Struthio camelus: one gene and its partner. The protein of the gene in region 2 interacts with the protein of the main gene of each other region in a pairwise test. Links are inferred from orthologs where the notes say so. Each region holds a gene or a part of one and is shown on either strand. Other genes may lie near its edges.

Region 1 (9,946 bases), on a different chromosome or scaffold from region 2:
ACTTTATCAATGTTTCCTTCTTGCACCGATACTCACCCCTTTATCGAGGCTGCAGGCAGCGAGGTAGGTGTGTGTATAAGCCTGGGGGTAGGGGAGTTACCACTCCTTCCTTTCTGATCACAGCAGATGCAGTCATGGAGCATGATAGGGTCAATCGTTAAGGCCCAAGGCTGCCTACGTTAACGTAGGCAGTAAAATGATGCCAGGTTAAATGGAATGAGGCCTTGGAAGGAGTTTGCTTTCTCCCTCCAAAGCCAGGCTGCTATCTCACCTCGTTCACGTGAGCGTGCTGAGCAGCAGAAGCTCCCATAGCCCAGGCCAGACCTAGCTGTAAAGGTACAGACGCAGCTGTAGGGCTGGGCACTTCAAGATCTATCTAAGAAGGAGCTGCCTGGGAGGAAAATGCTGAGGGAAAGGGCAATGCTCTGCACCAAACCACTGAACTCCGCTTGGGACAGCTGATCTTGGGAACGTCCCAGCTTGGCTTTTCCCAAGCTCACGTTCCTCCTCTTCTTACCCGTTCCCAGATAACGTCAGCCTGACCTGTGCAAAGGAGAACCAGCATACAAGCTATGGGTGTTATTACCAGCACACCACACAAGGAGCTGTGTCCCAGAGCAGAGCCAGGGGGAGAGAGGCATTCCTGTGTTCTGGAAACACAGCAGTTTATTTACAGTTCTTCAGTTATTCCCTGTCCCTGCAGAGGCTGTGCTGCATGAATCCCGACTCTCACCAAGGTTTAGGAAGACCTTGGCTGGCAGGAAGATAACAGTTTGTTGCTCCAGCTCCTCTGGCCTGTGCATCCTGAAAGTGGTGCCTCAGGGCTGGACAATGGCAGCGCAGGCATGGCCAGGAGAACAGGAGATGCCGGTGTGAGTGAAGCCAACTCCCCCTCCAGTTGCAGGTGCTTGGATCTCCCACCTCAGACCCAAAGGCAGGGACAACCTGAAACTGCCTCAGTTCCTTGAAACCCTTTGGCACATGAAGTCCACGCATGCCTGTTCCTCCCTCTCCAGCACAAACATCTGAGGAAACAGTCCAGCATAGCTTAGTACGGCCGAAACTTGCGCTGGGCTCGCATCAGTGCGATTCTCTGCTTGTCCTCCTCAAACTTCTTCCTCAGCTGGGCGATGTCTGAAACCGAAAGGAGGAGGGAGAGAGCAGGTCACACAGGGGGAGCGGCAGACTTCCATCTCCCTAGGGAGCTTCATCTCCGCTGCTCTCAACAGCCCTATACACACTGGGAGGTGGTTCAGTCCTGACATGCAGAGATACACTTCCCAGAGTGGATCCTTTTGGGCCAGGGCTCGGTGCAGGGCTGTGGCTCTGGCCACTTGTCTCCTGCAGTGCTGCAGCTCCCTCTTGAGGAGGGGAACAGGTGAGTCCTCCCTTTCAATTGCTGCATCTGTGCTGACTGAAGAAACCCCTATTAGAAAGCCGCATTCTTCCAACTCTGCCACAAAACTTTCAAACAGCCCCTGCTAGGCCAGGGAGCGGCATGGGGCCCACAAGAACTGGAGAGGCTGTTCACACAACAGCACAGCAACTGGTCGCCTACAGCGACCATTGAAGGAAAACTGGTGCTCTTAGGGCCACATATGAAGGACAAGAGCCATGGGAAGGGGGAGGAGACTGAGGCACTCACGCTCTCTCTTGGTCTCACGATGCTGCCAGGCATAGAAGTTGAGCAGCTCTTTGCGGGCCCTTTTCCGCCTCTCCCTCTCCAGCAGACGCAGGTTGGCAGCCTCTGTCCGGGGCAGGCCAGGCTTCCGGCCCTTCCGCGTTACCTTCACCCAGCCCTCCTCATCCGGAACGCCCTCCTCCTCAGCTGCTTTAGCTTCTTCCTATAAATACAGGACAGAGAGGCTCAGTGCAAATCTGCTGTCAGCCAGACAGATGCTTAGCTCCCTCACGGCTCCCCTTACACGCATGCACAGCTGCAGCTCCTGCTTCTGCACAAGATTTGAAGGAGAGCACAAGACAGAGGACCGGGCACCGAGCATAAGACTAGGCATTCAAGTCTCAGTCGCAACACTGCATGCCAGACAGGACCCAATGTATTTGTGGGTACCTGCTGTAAGCCCTGGGTGGAAGGGTCAGCTGTCACAAAGCAAACTAGGACCTGGTCTCCAGACACCATCCACCAGCAACTAGGAATAAACAACCCTGCCAGCCAGTGTGCCCCCCCCTCGTGCAATTTCCAGTAGGGCCTGGGCGGTGAGACCCTCCGTCTTCCTTTCACCCCCTAGACTGCTTTGCTGGGTCCCTTCCCCAGCCTGGCCTTACCTCTGCTATCTGTTTGTCATAGTCTTGCATGAAGGCATCCACCTCAGCTTTCAGTTCTTCCCGATCCACCACTGAAGCTGCGTAGCTGGCAATCCACTCTGAAACAGAGAAGGCAGAAGTCAGCAGTAGCTTCTGTTAGAAGCAAGCCCTAGTGTGATGTCTTTGAGCAGCTCTAGAGAAAACGGCTTATTGGGGCCGTTCCCATTTTCCATCCATCCTCAGCCTCCCCACCACATTGGTTCACAAACAACTGACCTGTGGACCAGGCCATGGCCAGTAAAGGGTTAAACAATGAGAAGGGCAACCGTGCTTGCAACCGTCCCCAAGCAAGACTGGGGTATCCTCAAGTGCAAAATTCAGGGCTGCGTTCCTGCAGAGGGGTCACGTCCAAAGTCCTGTCGTCTTGATAAACACCTTGTGCCTGTTAATGAGCCTGGCTCCCATTCCGGGGGCAAGCCACAGCCAGTTTTTCTATACAATACTGAAGAGATAGGGGGAGAAACTGCCCTTCCATCATATCAAGTAAGCACTTCCTCCCACAGGGGAACAGGACCAGATTCCACAACTTTCAGTAGAATAAGATGGCTATCTTAAAGAGTAAAAAAAGGACAACAAAACACTGGACGCCTCCCAGCTCAGTCTCAGTACAAAGTGGTGGGAATTAATTCGGGATACGTAGTACAGGATTCACTAAGGAACAGGTGTAGCTTTGCCCTGCTCCGGTTAACAGGGAGATAGCTAGGACTGACTTACTGCTGATGCCCGTTTTCACAGGATGACTCTCTGTTGATATCAGCAGAGGACCTCCCTGCGACAGGGCCTTGGCTGCCTGGACACCAGCTGGGCTCCTGAACACCACGTATGCTACTCGGAAACCCTGAAAGAAAGGTGCCCTCAGGCCAGTCAGGTACACCTACGGAGTTGGTAACACAGTAAGGAACTACAGTACACTAAATCAATACATAAAATTAAATCAAACCACAGATTGCAGTAGAATAGCAAAAAAGATAACACACTGGCAAATCCCCCAAAATGATTTTCCCACATCTTGTGCTCCGAACAGCACCATTCCAACACTCGAGATCTCTTCCCATTCGCACCACTAAAGCATCAGTCTCTTTCCCCTTACCTTTGTGGTTTTGAGGTTGAAGAATTTGGACTTGAGTGTTTCTGTTTTCTCTCCTATTTCTGGCTTGTCACAGATATCCACAGACTGAACAGGTCCACAACTGAAGAACAGCCTAGACAGAGATTCCTTGATACAGGCGTTAAGGGAGAAAAAAATAACACAGAAAAACAAGAGTGACTTCTTTCCATGCCTTCACACCCGCAGAAAGCATTAGACGACTCTCTGACAAAACCACAGACCCCTCTGCCCACTTCTCCCAGCTGGCAGTGCACTGCCTACCAACTAGGCAGTCACATCTCTGCGGCCCATTCGGCTCGTTCAGCCCGTGCCGCCACGCTCGTCCCGGAGGAGGACCTGCCCACGGCGTGGCACGCGACCGCTGGGTTTTGGCCCGCTAGCTCACCCAGGGGAAACTTTCGGCGAGCACTGGCAGCAAAAGCGCTGGGAGCACTCCAACTGCCCTGGCTGGAAACCTGAGGGGACGCAGCCCCGGGGGGCACAAACCCCGAGGGGGAGAGAGGCCCAAGGGAGAGGGGGGGGACAGAGATCTCCAAGGGGAGAGCCTCGGGGGGGGGGGGGAAGCACCGCAGCCCCGAGACGATACCCGTGCTGTCCCACTGTCCCAACCAGCGGCCCAAACCCTGCAGCGGCCCACCCCCACCCCCCCCCCCGAGCCGGGGCAGCCCTGGTCCCCCGGCGGTCCCACTCACCCGGCTGCAATACGGGGGGACGTTGAGCACGAAGAGGGTGCGGCGGGGCGGGTGCGCGGCGCCGGTCCCGGTCCCTTCGCGCACCCGGTGCTCCTTCACCAAGAGGCAGTGAGGCGAGCGCTGCCGCGGCCCGAACTTCACCGCCAGCGCTGCGGGCAACACAGCGGTTAGAGACCCCCCTCCCCTATCTTCGGCTCGGCCCGGCCCGCCGCCCCCTGCCCCGCGAGGCCCCGCGCCGCCCTCACCCGTGTACCCCGCCGGCGCCTCTCCAGGCACACGCTCCGCGGCGGCCGCCATCTTAGCTCCGCGGGAAGTGCCGGGCCGCGAGGGCCGCCGGGAGCTGTAGTCCCCCCAACCCTCCCCCGCGCGCCCTCGCCGTGTCGCTAATGGCGGCGGGTGGCGCCCGACCGTTAGCTCGCCTCCCGCCGCCGCGCTGGCGGAGAGGAGGGGCAGCGGGAGGTGTCTCTGTGTGTGTGTGTGTGTGTGTGTGTGTGTTGGGGGGGGGGGGGAAGGTTAAAGCACCGCGGAGGCAAGCTCGGATACCGGCCTGCCCACGCGTCCTTCTTACAGGCGTTTGTGAAGCCCGCGCCTCAAGGGCGAGCGCGCCTCCTCGGTGCATCTGCGAGTCCGGGCAGTTTGTTTTACAAGCGTAGCCGGGGCCTGTAGCAGCCATCCAGGCTCTGGCCCACTCCTGCTGTCCGGCTTCTGGCTCTAAAATATGGTTTCGATCAAGCTGCTTCCACTTGAAGCGAGCGTGGCAGAAGAGCCCCATCTCCCGCTGCAACTATACAGCCGGTGGATGCAACTTCTGCTCTCGCCGCGCACGACCAACTCACTAAGAGGCGCTTTTAAATGACAAAATACGGCTGAGGGCAGATGGAAGAGGTGGTGGCTTACAGGAGAAAGATATAGGAGGACACCCCCCCCGACAGAAAATCTGCCAAGTTAAGTGCACGAGGCCGAGCGACAAGCAGATAGATCACTTAAACCTCTCCCTAAAGCACGTGCTACGGGCCCAACAACCTCTCAGGACACTGTAAGCCAAAGCACAAGCAATTCCTCGGCACCTTGAAGACGAGTCTTTTAAAGGGAAGGCTCTTTTAAGATAAGTCAAAATCTGATTTGCTAGGGAAGACATCATTACACCCATGGGAAATAACTGAGACAGGTAGAAGGTGGCTTTAGCCAGAGCAAGCAAGGTGGATGTTCAGGTAGGTTATGTTGCCCAATGACCTGGTGATACAGACAGATTTCTGCATTCACAAGCGCCTCTGGAAATTCTTGGCTAAGGAACATGGAAATATCTGTTAAGGTGAGTTGCACCTGGATAAGGCCTCTGCAGCACAGTATGTTCTGTAAGGAAGCTTATTACACCCAGTCATTTAGTTAAACTAGAATTCTGAAAATGAAGACCTTAACAGTGAGAACACAACGTAAAAAGCAGCAAGTTTGCTTAATTCTAGAGAGGCAAATAAAAGAAGAAATGCTTCAGATGTGTAAAAACATTCAAAGACAACTATAGGAGTAACTACTCTCAAAGGCTCTTGTTAATCAGGGGAAGCAGCAGAGACCCCTACAGAGAAAGTTATATTTATGACTGCATAGAACAAGAAGGACCACTCCAAAAATAAAAGAAGATATTGAAGCAAGACATATGTACAAGGTGAACAAAAGCTAGTGAAAGCGAGTAAGAAATGATATGGTGACTTGACACAGAATAGATATCCAAGTTAAGGAACGTGATCGGGAGGAATGGCAAACGCAGAACCTGTAAACATATACCAGGCAAACCTGCAAATTGTAGCATCATATTAGGAATCAGCAAGTTTTTGAAAAAGCCAAGGAAAAAGAGAAACACTGTTACAAATGACTTACCACCTGTTCTGGACAACCCTTTTGAATTAGTGCTGGCAGTGTGTTTTGTATGCAAATTTATGATCTCAGATAACCCCTAAACATTTAAAAACCAACCAACCAACACAAATATAACTATGCTGAGTTAAGGCAAATGTGCACAGGTGTTAGGTCAGAAGGTGGTAGGTGAGCTCAGCAGGAGGCTAACAAGACTTAGCATGAGTATTTCAGGCCAGTGAGATGAAACCAGAGCTGCAAGGCAAAGCGCTTGAAAAAGCCTGGGAATTACTAGAATGTTATTCTTCTTTCAGTGCCTACTGAAACAGGAAATCACACTAGGAAGAATTAGCTAAGAAAACTTAATCTAAGAGACCAAACCAACTTTAGACTGCAAGACTGTCTAGGGTGGTATTTAGACAATCATTGACTTCAATGATAAAAAAAAAATAGAAGGATTTACTACACAGATCACAGAGCTAGAGAACAGAGCAGTAGTTCTTCAAGGAAGTATGTTAATGTCATCATAGTTTATCACAGATAATCTAAGCGCTATGTCCAACTTAACAGCAAATTACAATTCTATTTGTTTTTTGGAATGGATGTGAATGTACTAATGAAAGCGTATGACCAAATCATTCTTTCAGAAGAAAAAAAAATACGCAGCCACAATACATGTCTTCATATTTTCATACTCTTTGATCTAGTTGATAAAGTATCCTGCTTCCCCAAGAACAGATATCTTAATTTCACAGCTCCACTCTTTTTTTCTGGAGTTATCTTTTAAACCCACTAGGCTGTCTGTAACAAGGACCACTGTTTCCCTTTTTTGTGACATCAATGGAATTGGAACTAACTGTGGACGCAAATTGCTCCCACTTTAACAGCAACACTCTCTGTATAACAAACGTTTATTCAGAAACAGGTAATACATTATTTTCTCCAGCCCCTAACATTTCCTCCCCCTCCCCCCGACTCTTATTAAAACACAGGTGTTTGATGGGCAGTCTAAAAAAGGGGAACAATAGCTGTCTTAAGTCCCCTCCCCTACAAACATCTGCAGTTCACAAGAAGCACTCTACCAATAACAGCATGGTTAGTTTCCAAACCAGAGAGTACTCTGTGAAAAAACAAGTCCTGCCAAGTCCTCAGTTATTTCCATGGCTAAAAGGGATATAGCGAAATAGAGGAATGCTTTGCACCTGCTAGATAGAGCAAAGAGTTTGTACAGAACAAGAAAGCAAAAGAAACGTAAGGTTGACCAAGAAATGGGAGTCCAGGCCTACAATGGTTTACTTCACTAAAGTTCAGCAGTGCCGAACAGAACGGATCGGGTTACTCTCCTAGCTAGAAGGATTAAGTTCAAACCCCAACCAGATTCTGGAAGTGGCTCTTACCTTTCCTCTTATAATACAATTTCAACTAATACAAACAAAGGCAGCTACTGGGACTTCAAATATCCATGGCAATAATGGTGCACTAACAAAGGAAGTAGTCGAAGTGCCACCTAGTGGCCGGTGGCTGGTCGCAGATGCTCGCTCTGAAGGTGACTCGTTCTTGCTGCTCTGCATGGAACTTGCCGGTATCTAAACTCTTCGATGCATTCCCTAGAGCGTTAACTGCTCCCTCCACACACACCTCCCCCAAACCTCTCCTTGCAGCCACGGAGTGCAGTGATCACCCTCCACACCCATATATGGGAGCAGGCCTGCACAGCAGCCAAACATTGCCTAAATTAAACCTCAAGTGATTTTTCAGGGGCAGAAGACTGCTTCCTACATGTCTGAAAGAGGCCCCAGCTCCTTCCTTTTCATAAAGGGAGACTGGGTAAGTTAGAAGCTAAGAAAGCACTTCATGTCCCTATCCAGAAACCAGGAGGATGCAATACTGTCTAATAGGAGTGAAGCACTTGGATTTTATCTAGTTCTGAACACAATCCTGGTTCTTGTTTTTTAAGTTCAGAAGTAGGGAGAGAGCAACTCAGCCTGACTATACAGGGCAAGTGTATTCACTGCAGAAGCACCAGAGTCTTTCTCCACCTCTGTCCCTTACCAGAGTTAGAAACATCCCTCCCATTGCACGATGGGTGCTGCTCTTTACACACGTCCTTTCTCCCCGATGCCTCCCTTGGCTGGCATACCCACAGGGGAGCTCTGTTTTTCTTGCATCTTCTCAGTGTCACAGCTGCTGAGCAGAAAGTTATCCAACAGCCAGGCCCAAGTGGTATGCTACTGAATGCATGAGTCAGAGATGCAAGACGGTGCTTTCTGTATGGAGCCGCACCTTTATACTCAAGGTAGCAATTTTAGAAACCGTGTGTTGTCTTGCCTGCTGATAATCAAAGGGATACACCTTTTAGTTTAAAGGTAGGTCAGGAGAGAAAAGGAGATTGCCACTCCTTCCCTCAGAGTCTATGTGCACTTTTAATGGCCACTAGGGGCTTTCGAGTAAAGGAGAGTTACATCGTATATGTGTGGTAATATATTACTGGCAGAAGGGGGAGGTTATTCTCTTGGGGAAAAAAAATCATGGAAGAAAACTCCAACTATGAAAACAGAAAATACACACACAAGAGGAAACACTATTGTACAGTAAGGTAGCGATCATAGAAAACAAAAAAACTTCCAGACAGGCAAATGCAAATAACATCTGCACTCCTGCACTTTTCTCATTCTCTGACTTGAGTGAGTTTTCCAGTCCACCACTTGCTCCCCCTTCTCAGAGTTTGATTTTAAATTCTGTGGGCTGCACAGAGGCAGAGACCCCTGAGGATTTGAAGAGTGCCTTCAAGATGGTGTCAGGGTCCACCTCAGCAGGGGGATTTGAGGAGGCGCTTGCACTTGACCGGCGTGGTTCTCCTTCCTTCTTCACTGAAGGGGTATCACTCAGTCGGCTGGAGAATTAAACAAAGAACCCACAAATAGTATTAAACCTCACATTATCAAATACATTTTACCCAATATCTGCACTGCTCAATATCCTCTCTTCTCAGCATTGGACATAGCAGTTTAAAATGTGCTTTCAGACAAGAACACTTCCTGATCGCAGACTTGCTTTGAATCCCCAGGGCTGGCCAACACTATGGAAGCAAGCTATTTTGCAGTCAGCTCAACACAGAGAGCTTCCAGAAAGGAAGAGAAAGAGGATATTAATGGGAAAACAGTTTACCAACATATTTTCCTCCTTCCTCATAGGTTCTCCTCAAAACAGAACCTGCAAACTCTTTTGGTTCTTTCCCTCAGTGGGCACTTACAGCAATATAGGCTGGTCTGAGGTGATGACATTCCCATTCATATGAAGATTGCATTTCATCGGTTGACCTAAACAAAATACAACAACAAAAAAAAATCTGTATCTCAGAATCACAGTCAGGCAAGGCTCCTAAAACATCACACAACAGTGCAAGCAATAGTAGAGCTCCACATTCTGGGGAAACCAGGAGAAAGAGCAGCTGATGCATCTTCTGTTGCAAGATCATAGCACTTCTAAGCAACTGAAGTGTAACTGAAACACTCAGGAGAAATATGAAATTTGAAGTTACATATAGGTAGACAACCCTTAGCACAGGCAGAGATTCTCCCATTCTGAGCTGTTTGCTCCTCATCTGATATTAGTGGTGATACTCATCCAGGGAAAGAAACATCTATTTTCAGCTAGAAAACTTACACTTGTTAAAGTTGCATCAGGCCTCTCACAAGGGTAAAAGATAAGCTAGAAGTTAGCAGCTAATTTCAGCCTGTGACAACATGCAGATAGATCCTGATCAAAAACTGCATTGTTCAAAGTCTGTAGAGAAGCTGATACTGTTTTACAGGTCTGATTCAGAATGTCTTTGCCAGGCCCCCAAGACCTCTATAAATACTAGTTTTACTTGTGCTGTGCAGTTACTCTGTAAGCATTCAGTGCCTTCCTAAGGACTATCCTGCTTTGGCTTCTAGGTTAGAGACAATACAAAATTCATCTGGAAGTC
Region 2 (10,489 bases):
TTCCCCTCCCCTGCCATTTAATCAACATTTTGATCGGAATGCGGGGCAAGGAGTGGAGTCGAAACAATAAAGGCAACTTAGCCATCATATAAAAACTGTGAATAAATCAAACTAATACACACCTTGAGGGGATCCCAGTTCTTGAAGTAATCTTTCATGAGAGGATAAACTATTGCTACTGCCAAGTCCACCCTATCAGACATTCGGTACTCTTCATAGTACTTGTCTTGAAGTGTCTCAAAAATCTTTGCACACTCATCCAAGGTCAGCGGATTTTCACAACTGGGCTGCATCCGCCTCTCGCACTCTTCCACCATCTCCAGGACTTTGCTGAGATTGCTAATTGCCGTCTCCTCATGAGAGAGGACTTCAGACATCTTCTGTATCTCATGGGTCAGGTTGACCACCATGTCTCTCTCATACTGCAGCTGCCGGTCATTCTGGATGATCTCTTGCTCTGTGATGTCAATGAGAAGTTGTAAGTTGTGCTCCAGCTCAGGCAAGGCAAATCCCTGGGGCTTAGAGTCTTTGCCCAGTGGCTGCTGAGGACTGTCATCAGGAATATTGTGCTTGTGGCTAATTTGACTGTAGCTGTAATAAACCTTTTGTTCACGGCCCGTCATATCTATAACCTTACAACAAACAAGAACAAGCATGTCCTTAAAAAAAAAAAAAAATCTTATTTCATGCTTAAATTGAAAATTTGGATTTCTGAGATTTCTGAGTACCTTAATCACTCCAGCAGGCTACTAATACAATCAGGCGTTCTGAATTATTTCTAAAGAGGCTTACTAACCACATGAAGATTTGGAATGAATGAAGAACACAACATGGAATCAGAGCTGGAAATAAGTGCAGAGAAAAGGCCTCTGAGTTTGGAGAGAAATGCCCTCTTCCTCTAACGCCACTTCTACCTTTTCACTGAGTATTTCGACAAGGAGTGATGATGCAAGTAATATACAGTTCATTATGGCACAGAAGCCTTGGGGCATTTTACAAGTTTTTAAAGACATGTAATTTTAGGTGAATAATTAAGTGCATCAAGGACAAATCTAGTTACTGTCTCTTTTAGGTGGAGGATAGTTCAGATGCACAACCATAATATGTACAGCTGGGCTTTCAGAAGTAGACGCACATTTAATTTATGATAAACGAGATACAATTAAACTTAACTCATAATGAAAGACATCTAAGCTAATCTGCCTTTTCCTGAGGTCAAAAGGTTGCTTGTGAACAAGTGCCAGGTCCCAGGTGACGCAGTAGTGTGTTAAATGACTTGGTGATAAGTCTGAGGCCTTTGATTTTCATGAGGCTGTGGACAATTCGTTCTTGTAACTGTCTTCTATTAAGGTTACCAATGGCTAAAAAGCACTCACAGTACTAACGCGGACTAATCATAACCCAAGTGATGGCATCTCTGGGAAATCAGCCTTACCTTGACTTGAGACAGCTCCTTTTGAGGCGCTGCAAGCTGTTTGCTGATCCTACCCTTGGCTTTCAATTCTTCTACTGTCTTATAGTTGTATTTGGGCTTTTTCTTGCCTCCATTAGGATCCTTTCTCCACTGACTGAGCTCTTTTTGAAACTCCTAAACAAAAACAAGCAGGAGTTGCGGGTTGCTTCTCTGTCATGACCCAAATTTGTCTCTCTAATTTTTTTTACAAAAAATTAACCAACGAAGAATGCTGTACAGCAAAACAACATGGGAAGTAGTAAAGCTGAGGGACAAATTAGCTCAGATGCTGTGGTCCGCCCAAACATGCTATTCATGACGGTAGCAATATATTTCTCCTTTTGTTAAAGAACCAAAAAACAACCAGAAAGAATGCATCCAAATGTTTCTACCATTTTAGCCAGACAAAGAGGATTTATTCTGGGGGGTTCCTAGCAAGACTACCAGAATAAAGGGAGCCAGAATTTATGAAGAGAACGTTACGTTGACAAGAAAAATACATCTAAATGAAACGGTGTTAGGTCTTTAGCTTCTTACCTAAAACTGGCCTAAACAGTTTTCTCTGACATAGAAGCTGATACCAGACCTGAATTTCATAAAATACAACATAACAATGAGAAAAGAGATATACCAGGAATCATACACATACCTCTTCAGCTTCTTCTTCTGAGTCAACAACAGGGAAGTCTTGCAAAGACTGATTGGTTCTTTCAGAGCCATATGCCCCTACAGCTCCTTTGCCTTTTCTTTGTTTGGCCTCAATTGGATTGATAATACCTGAACAGGACAGTAGTTAGATCAGAAAGGACTACAGTTTAGTTACTCAGACAGAATTGAAAGTGCTTTTCTTACAGTAACTTGAGTTATCAAATTAGCAAGAATTACTTTTTTTGAGCAGACACCGACCAAATGCAGAGCATTATTCACATTTGTATGTCAGTGCTTCTTCATTCTACTGCATAAAATAACGTCTCCTTTCATTCTGAGCTGACTACTCTTGAAATTTTATCTCCCTCCTTTTTCCTTCTTCTCCTCATACAAAATAACGAAAACAAAAAAATGGCCTATGGTACGTTAAACGCAATTGAATCTTATCATAAAAATTCAGATCATTTGCTAGAAATGTCAGAAAATGAGAATGAGGTTTTAAGCCACAGATAAAATTCAGATGAGAGATTGGATTCTTGTGAGTCAGCAAAAAACAAACAAACTTGCAATCACAGTACCTTGAGCGTTCTTCCCAAGACCTCTCCCGGGGACATAACCCATCTTCTGGAGAAGCTTCTGCCCAATTCCCTTAGTGTGTCTCTCCCAGCTTCCAAAATCCATGAAAGATTTGGCCCCTCCTACAAAGCCTTTCTGACTGGGCTTGAAATTACCACCCTATTTACAAACAACAACAAACTTTTTAAGGCAATTTAATAACCAAGCTTTGCATACGTTAACTCAAAAAGAAGGCACTCTCCTGAAAAGATTCAGCTATCACCACATGGTACTGCTGTTTCTCCGCCTCACGATGGCAGAGAGTACCACTGTTGTGTCCATTTAAGCAGCCTGCCACTTAAGAAATTTCCATATAAGCTGACAATTATTAGAGTCTGTCGCTGACTACAGCTGAAACTCCTACCTGATCTTTTCCGTATTTGATAGCTTAAAATACGGTTCGGTTTTTAATCTATAACATGCTCACGCTAATCATATTGTTCTGCGGGAATAAATCAACCTTTGGATTTTAATAACTGAAACAAGGAAATAAAACACGAGCATTCTTTTATTTTTAACCTCAACTGACCAAAATGAATATTAACGAAAAGGGCTCACAAAGGAGCAACGTTCCCAAGGACACACAACACTACATCAGTACAACTTTAAAAAATATAGAAAACATCTCCTTTAACTACGTGCACTATCAGTTCTCTAGTTTACAATTATTTCTCCGTTTCTTGAGTACTCTATTACTGGCTCAAGAACTTTGATACTATTACAGCTTAAGTTTCATAAATAGATTACATAGAACTAAAAAATTTCTGGATAACTCACTGTTTTTAACTTCTTTGGCACAAACTCTTTAGGGATTTCTTCTTGCTTAACAGGCTTTTCGTCTTCATCGGAGTCTTCCTCTGACATATCCTCAGCTGCTGACTTTTTCAGCCCAGCACTGATGAAGTTCACGGGGGCTGAGTAGTCCCTAGAACTATATATTAGAAAAAGGCTTCTGTAAGTGCTCACGGCACGAATTCTGTCCCAGCAGACCCGTGCGCGTCCCCGCGCAATCCTTGAAACAGTCCTGCTAAATCCCACCCTGAAAGGAAATCTTAACAACTCCTGGCTAACTTGGAGCATGACGTTATTGCTTTTTCTGCCAGGAAATAGCCACGCTCGCCCCTTGGGCAGAGGGACGCGGCCTGTGCGCCCAGTCTGAGCGCGGGCACCTCGGCCGGCCCCGGCCCCGGCGCCCCCGGCCCCCCCCCGGCCCGCACCGCTTGCCGCCGAAGCTGGGCCGCTCCTCGTCCGAGTCGCGCTCGGCCCACACGCCGTAGGTGGCCTCCTCCTTGCTCTGCCGGTGCCGCTGCCGGTGCGGGTTGAACTCGTTCTGGAGGTCCCAGTCCGACACCTCGAAGCTCTCCATCTCCACGCCGTCCTCCCCGTCCGTCCCGTACAGGTGCGACATCGACATGGCGCCGCCGGGCCCCGCACGGCCCCGCACCGCACCGCGCCGTGCCCCGAGCCCCGCCGCCGGGCCCCCACCGAGCCGCTCCGCTCCGCCTCGGGCCCCGCCGCCGGGTCCTCCTTCCCCCGCCTCCCCCGAGCCGCCGCCTCCCGCCTCCCGCCCCGCTCCGGTCGCTCCGGTCCCCGCCGCTGCGAAACGAGCCCCGCGGCCCAGAGCGCCACCCGGAAACGAACCCTCTCCTTCCGGGTCACGCCCCCGACCGCCGGCTGGAGCCACTCCCCCTACCATAGAGACTCTCGCGCCCGGGGCCGGGCCAAGCCGCCGTCTCGCGCGCCGGCCGCTCCTCTATGGTCTGGCGGACCGACCGTGCCGGGCCCAGGCCGCGGCCGACACCGGGGCCGGGCCTCCCCCCACCCCCCGCCCCCCAATCCCCGACACCCCCCGTCCCGCCCGGCCCCCCCGCGCCCCCCGGGACACCGGGCCCTGCCGCCCGCCCCGGCTGCCGCCTTCTCGGCCGAAGCGCTGCTCCAGCGGCGGCCGTAAACAGAGGGGCCAAGAACGAGACAGGCGGCCTCATATATTAACTCTTAAATAGATTCTGTAAATTACAAGTGAAGGAAGGGCAGGAGACTTGTACAACCAATGCTCTACAAGGTTATTAACACCTATTTCTGATTTGCAAATTAGAGAACAGCATTACAAGACACTTAAATACAGCCTTTAAAAGTTCTCAAGTAATTGAATATAAAATCTCTTTCCAATGCACGTCGAAAGTCCGATTGCAATATTTGTTTCCACAGCTTCTTTTACCACGGAGCGTTCAGAAAAGGTAGACAACCGGTATTTGAAGTGGAAAATGTTTGGCCTTTGCAAATAAATGCAAGTACATTCCTTGTATAGCAGTCATTTTGGCAATATTATTAGCAAGCAATATGCTTGGATAACAGATTTCCACTTTTGCAATTGCAAACTCTTCTTTGCTGGACAACAAAAGGCCATTTGCAGCATTCTGGAAGACAAGAAACACAGTCTTAGGGATAAGACAGACAGATTTAACACAGCAAATACATGACTAATGATTTTAAACCAGCAGCTACATAACAATTTGTTAGATAGCTATCTAAGCCCCAGCTCCAAGATAATGGGCATACATCATCCATCCTTATTCAATGCTTCTGCTTTTTTAAGCACAAGATCCTGCTTTTAAATATAAAGTAATTTTAAAAGGTTCATTTTTAGAAAATTTTCATTCACCGTTTAGCATAGATGCTACCTGAAGAGAGAGACAGAAAAGGATCCAAGATATGAACAGTTGTTTCTGCAGAAACAATCAAGGGTTGCGGTTTTGTTTTTTTTCCGAACTGACAGCACGCGTGACCGCTTTATCTTCTCTTCGGCGAGGACAGTGCCCATCCTAGCAGGCTACTGGGGGAGCTGCTCAGCACAGCTGCACGTTTCCACGCTCCGTTTCCATGTTGCCAGCAGGGATATTCAGTAATAAGCCTACCAAATGACTGATTCTGATTTTGCTGAAGTAAGCCTGTTTTCAGAGCTCAGAAAAACATTTTCTCACAGACCACCTCACAGAGTTAGCAGTATTGTTCTGAAAACCTAAAGCAACTGTGAAGGATCATTCACATAAAGAGGATGCCTGGAGCAGCCCAAATAATCAAGGGGCACAAGAATTATACAAGCAAAACACTAACTCTGGAGCAATGCAGGTAGATTTGCATGAGTCCCAAAGTACAAGCACTTACCTGGAAATCATTAATTTATTAGTGAGAAGATGATGTATTCTGAGTGACCTAGAATAACCAACAAAGTAGAAGGATCAGTTTTCTGTCACCACCTGCAACTCTGAACATTCCCAGTGTTCCAAGAAGCAAGAAAGGGAAACGTTCAGGACAGAGAAAATTGTGGCAGCTACAGATAATCAGCAGGCACGAGGCTTTGCCAAGAGCCTGCAGCGTCTCCCTGACCTCTCATTTCCCCAGAGCATCTGCAGCATGAACCACGCACACTCGCTTCACCAGCAGCTCTGTTTTCTCATTTCAAGTCTTGGCCACGCATCTTTTCTGGAGAACTGAGAAATCTTTTATTTTTTGGTCATTATGTGCAATGGCTGTTGGATTGCTCTGGATTATAAAAGACGGGTTACCAATTGTTTTCAAACATAGCACTGTAAGGAGAGCCCCGTATACTTCTGACACCTGAAAACAGTCTCACAAGTACAAGAAGGAATACTTGTAATCTCTAAATTAGATAAGCCATGCCCTCCCTAAACATGACAAGGCCCAGGACAATGAAAGCCTTGAGAGTTTAGGGTCAGACAACAAGGTGGCAAGGGTTTTAAAGTAACAGAAGAAAGCGCCCAAGTCTGATGCGTGAACGCAGAGCTCCACAGCAAGAAACCATAAGCAAGAGCAGGCCAGGAGAGGTGATGGAGATGAACAAGCAGGGTCTGAGGAGCAGAAGAGCACAGAATACCATCAAGATTTTGTAGGACAAGACAGGATATCAAAAATAAGAACGCGGAGGATGGGCGTGGTGCATAGCACAAAGGAAAGGAATACAGGATGGGCTGAAGGAGAGACCAGAGAGGGGAGCTCTCCCTGCACTTGGGCTGCCCAGCCTGCATCTGTCCATGAGAGGAAGCAAGGGACCAGGCACCCAGGATTAACCAACAGGGCCAAGCCCTGAGAAGTGGCATCAGACTCTTACCTGAAGGTGACCTTTCAAGTTGGCTGGCGTTTTATAATCTCCCTTTAAAACCTACGGAAAAGACAAAATTAGAGTGACCCCTTCTTGAACGGTGGCTGTAAAATATCAGTAACTCCACGTTATTAACTGCATGGATTGCCCCAGTGTATCCAAACCAGCAGAGCTCTCCTGATGGGCGTTTGTTCTACATCATGCTGATGCTGGGGAAATAGCTGGAGATTTCCTCCTTAGTGACTTTTTAAGCAAAGCCAGGGAATGGCATCCTGCCGGCACAGGGGCCTGACAAAAGCAGGTTCTCTGGATCCCTCCTTAACCTGGAAGGGGAGAGTATTTAGACCTTCAGCATCATGCCAGTGCTCCAAATTCATGCCGAGAAGTACTAGAAGGTCCACGTCAAAGACTCCAAGAGTCTCTTAAACCTGCTGGGGGAAGATATTCATCCAGATCATCTGTGTCCTTAAAGAGCTCTCAGCAAGCACACAGAGCAAGGAGGAACTGTCAGAGACCAGAATACTCATAGCGCAAACCAGCTCAGGGAAGTTCTGAGCTTCCAGTTTAGTGGTTTTACTTTCCTGTTGACCTATGGATCTGCTTATAGCACAGCAGGGACCAGTCCAGCCTGCAGGCGTTCCTCCACGCCCATCAGTGTGACAGAGGACATCTGGTCCAAGAGCACTGTCACTGGGTGTGCGTGCAAGGCTGGGGAGGCTGCCGAGTCCAGCCGCAGTCCGGTCTGCTTCAAAGCGTGAGAAAAATTCCCTCCGTCTAGTAACTGCTGTCTGTGGCAGAAACATGTGTCAGTATTCTGAAAAAAATCCTTTTGGTCTTTGCTCAAATGCATTACAAGCCTCCACTCACTCGCATTCCTCCTGGGACTGTGGGGAGCGGCTGGTGAGCTACACACGGACACAGCACAACCTAACCCCTTCTCTGCGGCCAGATGGGAGCTTCTAGAGCAAACAGCTCTGCATCTAGATAACACAGTACACTTCCCATGCCTGGTACCAAGAACTGGGCTGGATCAGGGAGGGACAGGCCGGTATCTGCCACAACAGACGAAATGAACACCGCCACAAAACCATAGGGAACATCATTAGTCTGAGCCACCCTAGTCTCAAGCTACCGCATTCATCTCCGTTTTAAAGTAACCTCTGTGTACTGCATGTCCATCTATCAGTCATAGTCTCCCCAAAGGAAGAGAGCTTTTGTGTCTCCAGTGCTCTTTTTTGATTCAATTCAGCAACCTCTTCTCCTGCAGAGGGCTCTGCGGGCACAGTGCCTGCACAGGGAGGTCTCTGTTCCAGCGTCAGCCCACCCTTCCCGTAACCGCCTGGCCACGCTCCAGCCGGATGGCAGCGACACTCACCCTGTGCGTGTTGTTGACAACTAAAGGGTCCGGGTTGCCGTAGTTGGGTGGATTGGCGTACGGGTCGTAGCCGAGCCTGGCAAGCATCGGCGCTATGTGGGCCATGTCTTGCAGCACATCCCCTGGGATATGTCCGATCCATTTAGATAATGCCTCCATGTTCACAGGCTTGATAACCTGGTCTGTTGATCTTTCTATCCTGGAAGAAAATAAATAAATAAATAAATAAAAGGAAAGCAAGACAGTAAAGTTGCTGTCAGTTGGATTTCACGTGTATATTAATTGGACTCAGACAGAAAAACCTTCAGCTAGGTTAGCTACCCTCTGAATGATTTACTCTCAATGCCCAAGATGCACGTGTAGCTCAAGTGCTGTTGAGTCCACGCCAGGATCAAAGGTTCCCAAAGCGGCAGCCAGAGGCAGAGCTGTGGCCGAGCCCAGCAGCGCTGCTCTCAGGGCAGCTCCCATAAGGACAGCAGTACCTCCCTGCCCTGACGGCCCCTCTCCAGCGGGTGCCTTCAGTCCGAAACAGCCAAGCCCCAAGAGCATCGTGGGTTTACGCGAGCCGCTTGCCTTGCGACCAGGCTTGGGCACTAGGACCAACATCACCAGCTCCAAACAGGCCAGCACAAGGAGGTGCTGGTAAGGGGGGGCCCTTGCACAGTGCAGACTCTCCCTTCCCACCCTGCGCGCGGGGTGACACTCAGCCCGGGCTAAGCTGCATCTGCTCCGCGCTGAGTCAGAGGAAACCACACCCGACGAGGCATATGCAACTCTGCATGTTAGGAGGGATAAATATACACAAAGACAGCAGATCATCGGCTGAGAGAGCTTCCCAATTACTGAATCATTAAGCGTATGCAATTCCACACAGCCTATTCAGGAAGAGTGTTTTAGTGCTGACGAAAGCAGAGCCGAATAGCGCACCCCTTGGCTGCCTTGGAGAAAAAACAGCGCGAGCGCACCCACCGCTTTGGATGCATCAAGCTAATAAGGGGCAAGAGGAATTTAGGCAAAGACTGCTTGGGTGGTTCCTGTATAGGACTGATTAATTTTTGCTAAGTTAGCCTTAAGCTTCCGTCTAGAAAAATAATTCAGCACTTAACAACCACAAGAAGCTGGGTAAAGCAAGCACCTCCTGGAACACAAGAAGAGACAGAAAAAGCTAGGGAGCAGTGGGGTGCGTCTTCATGGGAGAAGATATTTCTTTTATACTGCAATACCAGCAGGAAACATAGTAAGAATTAGTGCAAACTACCAAAAGCAATTCATTAACAGCTAAACTGTAATCCCAGTCTGAACAGGTATATGAGGACAGGTGGAGAAAGAGTCATTAAAAAAAGCTCAAGTTTCTGAGCAAGCAGTTCTTCTCAAATTAGACACCAAAACCATTTCCACACTGTCAACAGCAGATGAAAAAACACTGTCACCTGCTTTTAAAATCCTTGCCTAACAAGCTGTTCTATTGGGTACAACAGATAGCTAATATTCAAGCTTGTGTTTTACTTAGAAAAACAAAAGCAACTGCAGCAAAACGGATGTGCTACCACTTCTGATCCTGAAAACTATGCCTAAACATAAGCAACAAATCTTTGCCCTCCAGTTTTGGCCCTGACCTGCTTTGTCTCATGAAAATACTCTTTGAAAAGCAGAGGCAGTAGCAGAGACACTCACTTGGAAAGAGACACTCCACCAGGCTTCCCTATCAGTTCCTCATGGTGCAGCACCGCATCACTCCAGGAAATATCTAGGAACTTCATGATGGCATGCATAGACCGCTCAGGGTGCAGGACTAGCTGCTCGTAGTAGACTGGCAGGCACCGGGCTCGCCCGATCTCCAAGCACTGGGAATACATCACCTCGATCGCTTTGTTCCACTTGGTAAGGCAGTCTCGGTAGCTGTTCAGGTCAAAGCCTGCGATTGTCACCTTCCTTGTGATCATTGAATGGACAGACGCCCGGCCATCTCGAACCATGAGGAGGAATTTGGAATTGGGAAACAGTCTGGACAGGTAGACAGAGGACTTCAAAGTGAAAGGGTCCTTGTTACATAAATACCTGGCTGGCTCGCCATGCTTGGCGATGACTTCCAGTATAAAGGCCTGCATAGCAGCGTCCAAAACTTGGTCCGTCACTCCTGCTTCGTCCAGGCGCATCTTCTCCCGCCCCGATTTGGACCAGGCCTGGCGCATCGCTAGCACACGGGGAATGATGCGGGTCTCCTCCCCACAGCGGACCTCAGGGTGGGCATCGAGCATTGCTCTCATCAGCGTTGTGC

What was found.
Region 1: the proteins of TFIP11 (region 2) and RRP7A interact in binary tests that used the Homo sapiens proteins (3 or more experiments, as listed by UniProt). The link is inferred for Struthio camelus from reciprocal best matches to the Homo sapiens genes TFIP11 and RRP7A.

What each region holds. Positions count from the first base shown.
Region 1 is NC_090942.1:56,160,816-56,170,761, reverse strand, and holds RRP7A (ribosomal RNA-processing protein 7 homolog A), read right to left. Parts: upstream 4,537-9,946; 5' UTR 4,423-4,536; coding exon 4,371-4,422; intron 4,275-4,370; coding exon 4,126-4,274; intron 3,542-4,125; coding exon 3,416-3,541; intron 3,164-3,415; coding exon 3,040-3,163; intron 2,385-3,039; coding exon 2,287-2,384; intron 1,845-2,286; coding exon 1,646-1,844; intron 1,135-1,645; coding exon 1,049-1,134; 3' UTR 565-1,048; downstream 1-564. Other genes in the region: POLDIP3 (polymerase delta-interacting protein 3), read right to left, coding at 8,695-8,869, 9,230-9,296. UniProt on the Homo sapiens protein: Nucleolar protein that is involved in ribosomal RNA (rRNA) processing. Also plays a role in primary cilia resorption, and cell cycle progression in neurogenesis and neocortex development.
Region 2 is NC_090958.1:19,920,299-19,930,787, forward strand, and holds the start of TFIP11 (tuftelin-interacting protein 11), read right to left. Parts: upstream 4,220-10,489; 5' UTR 4,131-4,219; coding exon 3,934-4,130; intron 3,648-3,933; coding exon 3,494-3,647; intron 2,837-3,493; coding exon 2,680-2,836; intron 2,231-2,679; coding exon 2,103-2,230; intron 1,589-2,102; coding exon 1,436-1,588; intron 633-1,435; coding exon 123-632; intron 1-122. Other genes in the region: TPST2 (protein-tyrosine sulfotransferase 2), read right to left, coding at 5,900-5,929, 6,846-6,896, 8,212-8,410, 9,886-10,489. UniProt on the Homo sapiens protein: Involved in pre-mRNA splicing, specifically in spliceosome disassembly during late-stage splicing events. Intron turnover seems to proceed through reactions in two lariat-intron associated complexes termed Intron Large (IL) and Intron Small (IS).